2 linked regions of the Neurospora crassa OR74A genome follow. The protein of the gene in region 2 purifies or fractionates together with the protein of the main gene of each other region. This does not show direct contact. Links are inferred from orthologs where the notes say so. Each region holds a gene or a part of one and is shown on either strand. Other genes may lie near its edges.

Evidence for each region. Proteins that work in one complex are often made in the same cells at the same time.
Region 1: the proteins of rad23 (region 2) and rpt-2 purify together in Saccharomyces cerevisiae (affinity purification with mass spectrometry, with the first as the bait; 3 studies listed by BioGRID). This does not show direct contact. The link is inferred for Neurospora crassa OR74A from reciprocal best matches to the Saccharomyces cerevisiae genes RAD23 and RPT2.

Annotation. Positions count from the first base shown.
Region 1 is NC_026505.1:3,289,355-3,293,441, forward strand, and holds rpt-2 (26S protease regulatory subunit 4), read right to left. Parts: upstream 2,803-4,087; 5' UTR 2,594-2,802; coding exon 2,591-2,593; intron 2,525-2,590; coding exon 2,465-2,524; intron 2,351-2,464; coding exon 1,541-2,350; intron 1,484-1,540; coding exon 977-1,483; 3' UTR 554-976; downstream 1-553. Other genes in the region: NCU01223 (hypothetical protein), read left to right, coding at 1-100, 203-553; NCU01225 (ubiquitin conjugating enzyme), read left to right, coding at 3,749-4,009. UniProt on the Saccharomyces cerevisiae protein: The 26S proteasome is involved in the ATP-dependent degradation of ubiquitinated proteins. The regulatory (or ATPase) complex confers ATP dependency and substrate specificity to the 26S complex. Has ATPase activity.
Region 2 is NC_026503.1:4,431,838-4,435,774, reverse strand, and holds rad23 (rad23-like protein), read left to right. Parts: upstream 1-1,131; 5' UTR 1,132-1,554; coding exon 1,555-1,572; intron 1,573-1,802; coding exon 1,803-1,850; intron 1,851-2,031; coding exon 2,032-2,104; intron 2,105-2,167; coding exon 2,168-2,247; intron 2,248-2,309; coding exon 2,310-2,654; intron 2,655-2,714; coding exon 2,715-3,302; 3' UTR 3,303-3,802; downstream 3,803-3,937. UniProt on the Saccharomyces cerevisiae protein: Plays a central role both in proteasomal degradation of misfolded proteins and DNA repair.

The sequences.
Region 1 (4,087 bases), on a different chromosome or scaffold from region 2:
CCCTAGGCTCCGGCTTCCTCGCTGGCATCCACATCTAGGACTGCGTCTGCGTTTCACGCACCCCCTCGGCCGTGTGCGCGCTTTCGCTGAGCGCCCCCGTGTAAGTCGCAGTGGGAACGTAGGGATCGTTGCTGGGCCGATGGAACTGGGGCGGGGGTAGAGGGTGTGCTTGGTGGTTCTGGTCGCTCTTCTTCCATTTCAGACCAAGGGGAAGAGAAACAGAAGGATGATGGTGATAGTAAACCGTTGGTGTACGGTTATATCAGGAGCAAGGGGGGCTGTATGCAGGGGAGTCGATGGATGGGACGGTGGTGGTGGTGTCGAGGGGGGTGCGAATGAGGAGTTTTATGGGAGGAAGGGGATCACGGTGAAGGAGATTCCGAAAGGGGGTGTGCCTTGGCCGGAACGAGGGCGAGATACGAAGGATGGTAAAAAGGTTTGGTCGGAGGGGGTAATGGGCTTGGTGGAGGCTTTGAGTGCGGCTGATCAGCAGGGGAGGAGAATATGTGATGGGGACCATGATGGTTCAAGCAGGAGAGTAAAGGGTGGTTAAATGTATAGAGATAGAGAGAAGGATACACGCAGAAGGATAGATTAGATGCCGCCTGGTGACAATGGGAGAGATAGCATACGTAGGAGGTGCAGCGTCAAGCTTACATGAGTAGGATGAGAGGCAGTGGTGGGCTTCACGTTTTGCGTAGATACAACTGACATGAAGCTGGACTTCACAATGAATGTATCAACGAACCAACAATTTAAGGCGTGGAAAACATACCCTTACAGGAGCCAACCGTAAAGTTTCTTCTTTCTCCATGATAAAACGCTACGGTATCCCTTCATCTTCACTCAAACTAAGGTACGCTTAGTGATGGCTGGATATCGACATCACAAGGCTGAATTGTCAAATCCATTCCCAGTCGCAATCCGCCCAAATCTGAAAAGTCTTGCAAATTAGGCCAGATAATATGCGGTTATGTTACAAGTACAAGCCCTCGGGCTCGCCTTCCTGCTTGGTGCGCAGAACTCTTTCACGAGCAGCTCTGAAGTCTGCCATCTGCACCCGCATTCTGCGCTCACGGAGGGCCATGAGACCGGCCTCAGAGCAGATGGCCTTGATGTCGGCACCTGAGAGATCGTCCTTCTGGGCGATGAACTCTTCCAGGTCAACATCCTCGTTAAGTGACATCTTGCTGGTGTGGAGCGTGAAGATCTTGCGCTTGGTGTTCTGGTCGGGATTCTCGAAGAGAATCTTGCGGTCGATACGGCCAGGACGGATTAAAGCAGGGTCAAGCGACTCGATCTTGTTGGTGGCCATGATGACCTTGACGTCTCCACGGTCGTCGAAACCATCCAGCTGGTTCAGCAGCTCCAACATGGTTCTCTGGATTTCACGTTCGCCGCCCGATGTCGAGTCGTAACGCTTGGTACCGATGGCATCGATTTCGTCGATGAACACGATGGAAGGGGCATTCTCGGCGGCAACCTGAGGAACATGTTAGAGTATATATTTGACAGTGTAGCTTGAAACACTTTTACATACCTGGAAAAGCTGGCGGACCAGTCGAGGACCATCACCAAGATACTTTTGGATAAGCTCGCTACCAACGATGCGCAAGAACGTTGCCGAAGTTTGGTTTGCCACAGCCTTGGCAAGGAGGGTCTTACCGGTACCGGGAGCACCGTAAAGAATGACACCCTTGGGTGGCTTGATACCCATTTCTTCGTAGAGCTCCGGATGCAGCAATGGAAGCTCAACTGATTCACGAACTTCCTGGATCTGCTGTTCCAAGCCACCAATATCCGCGTACGACTCCGTGGGCGCCTTGTCAAGCTTCATGACGCTGACGGCCGGATCCGTGTCGTCGGTGAGCACGCCAACAATGCTGACACTCTTGTGATGTAGCAGGACGCTGGCGCCGGGCTCCAGAAGGTCTTTGTCGACAAAGCTCATGATGCTAACGTAGTACTCGGGCCCCGATGTGCTGGAAACGATGGCGTGGTCGTCGTCGATCAACTCCTCGAGAACACCGACACCCATGGGGCTGCCACGCATATCATCGACACGGGAGCGCTCGTCAGCCATACGGTCGGAAGACTCGAGCTCGGACGCAGGAGCATTGCTGTCCTTGGCGGTCTTCGCCTTGCGTAGACGTTCTTGATTTTCGACATATTCTTCCTCGAGCAGTAGATGATCGTGGATTCGTTGCATTCGTAGGAGTCGGAGTTTGCATCGGCTTGTCGGATACACTGAGGGGAGCTTGGCGGCAGCGCTGGCACCGCCTTGTCTCTTCTTCTTGCGACCGATGCGGGTGGTAGGCTTCGGCGGCGGCTCGTACTTGGGCTTATCTTTCTGTTTTGGTGGCGATGGTGGTTAGCGATGTCCATGATGTCAGCGCCTGAGTCTCACAGGACAGCAAGCATGCCGCGCACAACAGAAACCTTGACGCAACTGAAGCCATCCTACCTTATCTTTCTTGGACTTTGAAGGGTCCTGGCCTCCGCCCATGCCAGACTGATTTTGACCCTGCGCAGCTTGTCAGTATGCGATGCGTTGCAAGCTTGAGCTCAGCTCCGTATTGCGGCAACTGACCATGTTGACGGTCCGCCTTTCGCGATTCTTGAAAGTGTGGTGGAAGACTCAAAGGGGTGCTGAGAATTATATGATGGGGTCGCAAAAGTGCCGCACGATCTGAACTCGTTGATCTCAGCGGCAGTGATGGAAACGATTAAGTTGTGCTGGTGTTCGTTGTTGGCGGATGCCCGTTTGAGGTTCAGTTGCGACGGGATGGCGAGCTCCAGTTCAGGCCCCCAGTGAACGCGACACACCTCATCCGTCTGTCGTCCAGTCGTACACCTGACGCACAGACCATCAAGACTACTAAGCTGCCGGGGGCAATAGCACCTTGCATGTCGTTTGAGCGCTCCTAGCACTTGCTGTGCGTTTGCATTCGATCTGTCTACTGACCATACCTGGACAAGCTGCACAGCTTTAAGTTTGTACTTGTACCGTATGACGGACTGTTTTCCCATACATACAGCGCATGGCCACGACATTGGCAAGGGAGGGGACCATCCCAGGGACGAGTCCAGCCAGAGCCTCCTGCTTCCATCCTATCCCGTCGCAACTTTGTGTACATTGGAGGGCGACAGTGGTCATTCGTCCTCAACCTTGCCCGTACTATACTAAAAAATAAAGCAAGGTGTGGCTGAGGCGATCAAAACACTAGGAAGAACACCACGCTCGCCAATTAGGTTATGTGAGCATTTGACTCTTGGCACTCTTGGGTACCTCTACGGACGCTGCTCCCCACCTGACTCTTGAAGTTGCCTTTTTGCTTTCCTTTCCCTCGACAGGAAGTGACGACGACCATCTCACCTTGTCAGCGAATGCTCTTTCAGCCTTGCATTCACAAATAACCTACGGTACCTAAGCAGGCCCGGTTCGCCAATCCTCGATCAGTTGCGGAAGAAAACCTAAAACGTCCTGTCGTTCGTTCCACTGCCAGCTCCTCCATCACTGAAGAAACCCTCCCGTCTCACCTTGCAACATCATTTCACGGGCCTCCTTGACCCCTCCACAAGGTTAATCTTATCAGTACTCCGTTGTTATACTTCACTTATTTCGCTGAACACCACTTCCTACCATCTTATTTGCGTCCAACAGCAAACCATATACTGTACCCACTCCCATTCCCATTTGGGCGCAATACACTTCCCTTCCTCTGCACCAACACCCCATCACTTGACCATGGCGACTACTCGTGAGCGCCGCGTTGCGAAGGAATTGCAGGATATATGGAATGACCGCGAGACCTCGGGCGTCATGGCCGAACCTCTCGACTCGAGCAATCTGTCGCACCTCAAGGGCTCCTTCAGCGGCCCTCCAGACTCGCCCTATGCTGGGGGTACATACGAGGTCGACATTCAGATTCCGGATAAGTACCCGTTCAAGCCGCCCTCGATGTATCTTATTACCAAGATCTGGCACCCCAACGTCAGCAGTGTCACTGTACGTTTCTCTCGTTTTTGTCCCCTTGTTTTATGATGGATGTTAGGAAGTAGGTGGAGTTTGGAGAGCTCAACTAAC
Region 2 (3,937 bases):
GGGAGGGGAGGAGGATTTTGTTTTGAGGACGTGAATATGATACCTTTGATTGCGAGGCGTTGGACTTGAGTTCCATACCTAAAGATGGGTCTTGGATAGGTGGGATTTGTGTATAGAAAAGCTCGGCTATGGTTGGATAGAAGGATGGCTAGATGATGGATGGATTCAGATAGATGCTTCTCTGCGCTATGCGCGAGACGGACGACTGAAAGATGTAGCGGATGAGAACCGAAGAAGTCAGAACAAAAGATCGTGCCCACGAAATATGCGCGGTGACATTGAGCTGTGATTTTCCATCTAAGCTATGATGCTTAGACGTCCGACCATGACTGCGATGGAGATGTAGGTAGCTTGGAAGCTTGGGAATGGTGATGAGAGAAACCAGAATAAAACGATGTCTGGCTCAAATCATGTTTGCTGCCTTGAAAAGTAACCCCAATGCTACCGTTCCGTCGTTTTTGCGATGATAACCGAAGGGAAGGTTACTCGTAGTCAATTCAATGTCACGATCCACGTCGGGTCACGAACGTGACGGAGGCCTTATCTTATCTGGTGCTCTTTCCAAGGGAGCCTACCAATGCGTATGATTGGTACAGATGGAAGGTGTTCTTCAGCCCCATTTTATACGCGCTTATGAGTGGAGATCTATTACCTAGTATTGCCGTGACACTGCCATAATCAGCGATGACTTCATCTTCTTCATCGCAAAAAAAATTCAAATAGAATAAAAAGAGATGAAAGAAGATGGGTCCTTTGGATTGGCTCACAGCATGACATCAAACATTCCCCTTTGATTTTGCATCAACTTCCATCGCCAACGGAAGCATGTGGTTATCAGTTCAGTGACATTCAAAAGCAAGACTAACAAAGAAAACCAATTCATGTTTTTCAACGCAACAAGGCCAACACAACCTGGAAAGTGAATGGATCCATGGGATCAATCAGTCTGTGTTGTGTGTACAGACGGACGGGATGGCAGCGTGACGACTGTGACCTCTCCACCAGCTCCAGGCGGCAAGATGCCGCGCAGCCCCCCCCGCCTAACAATGGCCGCTGCCTTGTGCCTGTCCACTGCACTTTGCCTGCCGCTTCCCCCCAGCCATTCACTGCCGTAGGTAGCACACCGTGAACCTGGCTACCCGCCTGCTGTGCCCCTCTTCCATTCAGTGCACTCAGGTGAAGCGAACAAACCCCAAATTCTCCGCCTCAAAGCTGCCTCATCAGTCATCACAAGCCGCTGTAAAACGTTCAAGCTTCCCTGCTACCTTCCATATTTCTTGCCACAGCGATTACAACTATCTCCTCCCCTGTATGCCACCTCGCCATCTCTGCGGCAGCCTTCCCACACACATCAACCTTACCACAGCAACCAACTAACCACTTCCACTTTTTTTCCTCGTCCTCGCCCAACTCCGCCGACTGCAACAAATCTTGCTGTCTCCCATCGCGACTCGGAACCCAACGAAGCTCGCCCGTCCGGACAGACTTTACTTACATCATCAGACTCTCAGTGTCAACGTAGCAGCCGTTTAGCTGCGTCGCAGATTGCCCATCATGAAGGTTACTTTCAAGGTACGTGCCCATAAGCTTGCCCATGTCGAGTGTTTGACGTAGCCAGCCAGCCAGCCAGCCAGGCAGACAACGAGCCAGACGTACCGCGATGGCTTCTCAGCAAATTCGGAAACAACCCAGCGTCTTCTTTGAATCCTGTCTGCCTGGTTGGATCAGAGCTCGCTCCCTCTGTCCATAAGCTCTCAAAGTCTATATAGTCAAATACTAACAATGACTGTTCGTTCATCTAGGACCTCAAACAACAAAAGTTTACGCTCGAGATCGAGCCTACCGAGACTGTTGGTTACCCTTCGTCGCCTCCCATTTCCTTACACCCTTTACCTCAGGCCGACGTCATGGAGACATCCAACACGCCGTGACAGCCCTCGACAATCGAATGCTCTGTCGGCGTCGCGAGCCTCCCATGTCGCTTCGGGAGACGTGCATGATGCTGGCGAGCTAGAAGCTAACCGGTTGCAGATTTCCAAGGTCAAGCAGAAGATCTCCGAGGAGAGGGGCTGGGCTCCCGAGCTGCAGAAGCTTATCTACTCCGGTAAGCATCGCTTGCTTCTCAAACGATGGATACCGCTCCCGAATACTGACTTTACCCCAACAGGTAAGATCTTGAAGGATGAGGAGACCGTCGAGTCGTACAAGATCGAGGAGAAGGGCTTCGTTGTCTGCGTCGTGAACAAGGTACTATTTCCCCCGTTATTACTCACGTCCTTGTACAAAGATGAAGCTGACACTTTGCGCAGCCCAAGACCACTGCCCCCAAGCCAGCCGAGTCGTCGTCGTCTGCCGCTGCCCCCGCTACCCCCGCTGCCGCCGCCCCGGCCTCAACACCTGCTCCCCCTGCCGCTCCCGCGGCCTCCAGCGCTGCTGCCGCTGCCCCTTCGACGCCGACGCCCGCTAGAACCGCTGCGGCTCCTGAGGCGGCCCCAGCTGCCGGTGCTCGCGATGCCAACGCCCTTGCCATGGGCGAGCAGCGCGCCGAGGCCATTGCCAACATGGAGGCTATGGGTTTCGAGCGTTCGCAGATTGACGCTGCTATGCGTGCCGCCTTTTTCAACCCCGAGCGCGCTGTGGAGTATCTCTTGAACGTACGTTTCACAACTCATTCCACTTTCCGATCTATGTCTGGTTTACTGACACAGCTTTAGGGTATTCCCGCCAACCTCCAGCAACAAACTGCCTCTCGCCAGCCTTCTGCCGCTCCGGCTGCTGCCCCTGCTGCTGCCGCTCAGGCGGCTTCCCCCGCTGCTGCCGGTGGTGATGATGACGATCAAGTCAACCTTTTCGACCTTGCCGCTCAGCTCGGCAACAGCGCTGGCGGACGTGGTGCTCGTGGTGCGGAGGGTGCTGGTGCCGAGGCCGCTGGTCTTGGTAACCTCGACTTCCTCCGCAACAACGCGCAATTCCAGCAAATGCGTCAGCTTGTACAGGAGCAGCCCCAGATGCTGGAGCCTATCTTGCAACAGCTCGGTGCCGGCAACCCTCAGCTTGCCCAGATGATCGCCCAGAACTCGGATCAGTTCCTGAACCTCCTTGGCGAGGGTGGTGAGGGTGGCTCTGTCGGTATTGCTGTCACAGAAGAGGAACGCGATGCCATTGAGCGTCTCACCCGCCTGGGCTTTCCCCAGGACCAGGCCATCCAGGCCTACTTCGCTTGCGACAAGGACGAGGAGCTTGCCGCCAACTTCCTTTTCGATCAAGGACCGGAGGAAGATGACGACATGCCCCAACAATAAATAGGGGTGAGACTGTAGGCTGGAATGAGATATTTTTGGGTTTTTCGTAACTGGGCGTTAAAAGTCGTTGGCAGGGTGGATTTTCGTTAGCAGCTGCCTTTGCATTTGAAATGTGGGCGACGGCTGGATGGTTTGGGCTTGCTTAGGATGCATTGGAGACTTTATGATGACATTATACCTTAGGGAGCTCAAAATGCTCAACACTGCTGATCAACGTTCACATGCAATATACGGGTGGGCTTTGTGTGTCTGATCTATCCACTGCGCGACAGGTTTCGACGAGTTTTAGTAAGGAAGCATCAAGAGTGAATGGGGTGATGACACTGAAAAAAATGCTTCGCGGAGATCTAGATCAAGGATAACTACAGAGGTGTGGTGTTTTCACAGCTTACGAATCACTCTATTCTTTATGTACTCTATAGTCCTGTCCCTTGAAGAGTGAACGAAGCATTCCCATCACGAACCATAACCAGCAATGAAAACGAAGATAAGATCCGAGACCATGAAACCGTCCGCATACAAGTAGTATGATCAAGAACCCTTTTTTTTTGTGTGTCTCCATTTGTTTTTCCCTTCCCTATTTCCATACCTAACTAAGTGCCCCTCCGGTTGATGGGTATATAAAACCTATTTGA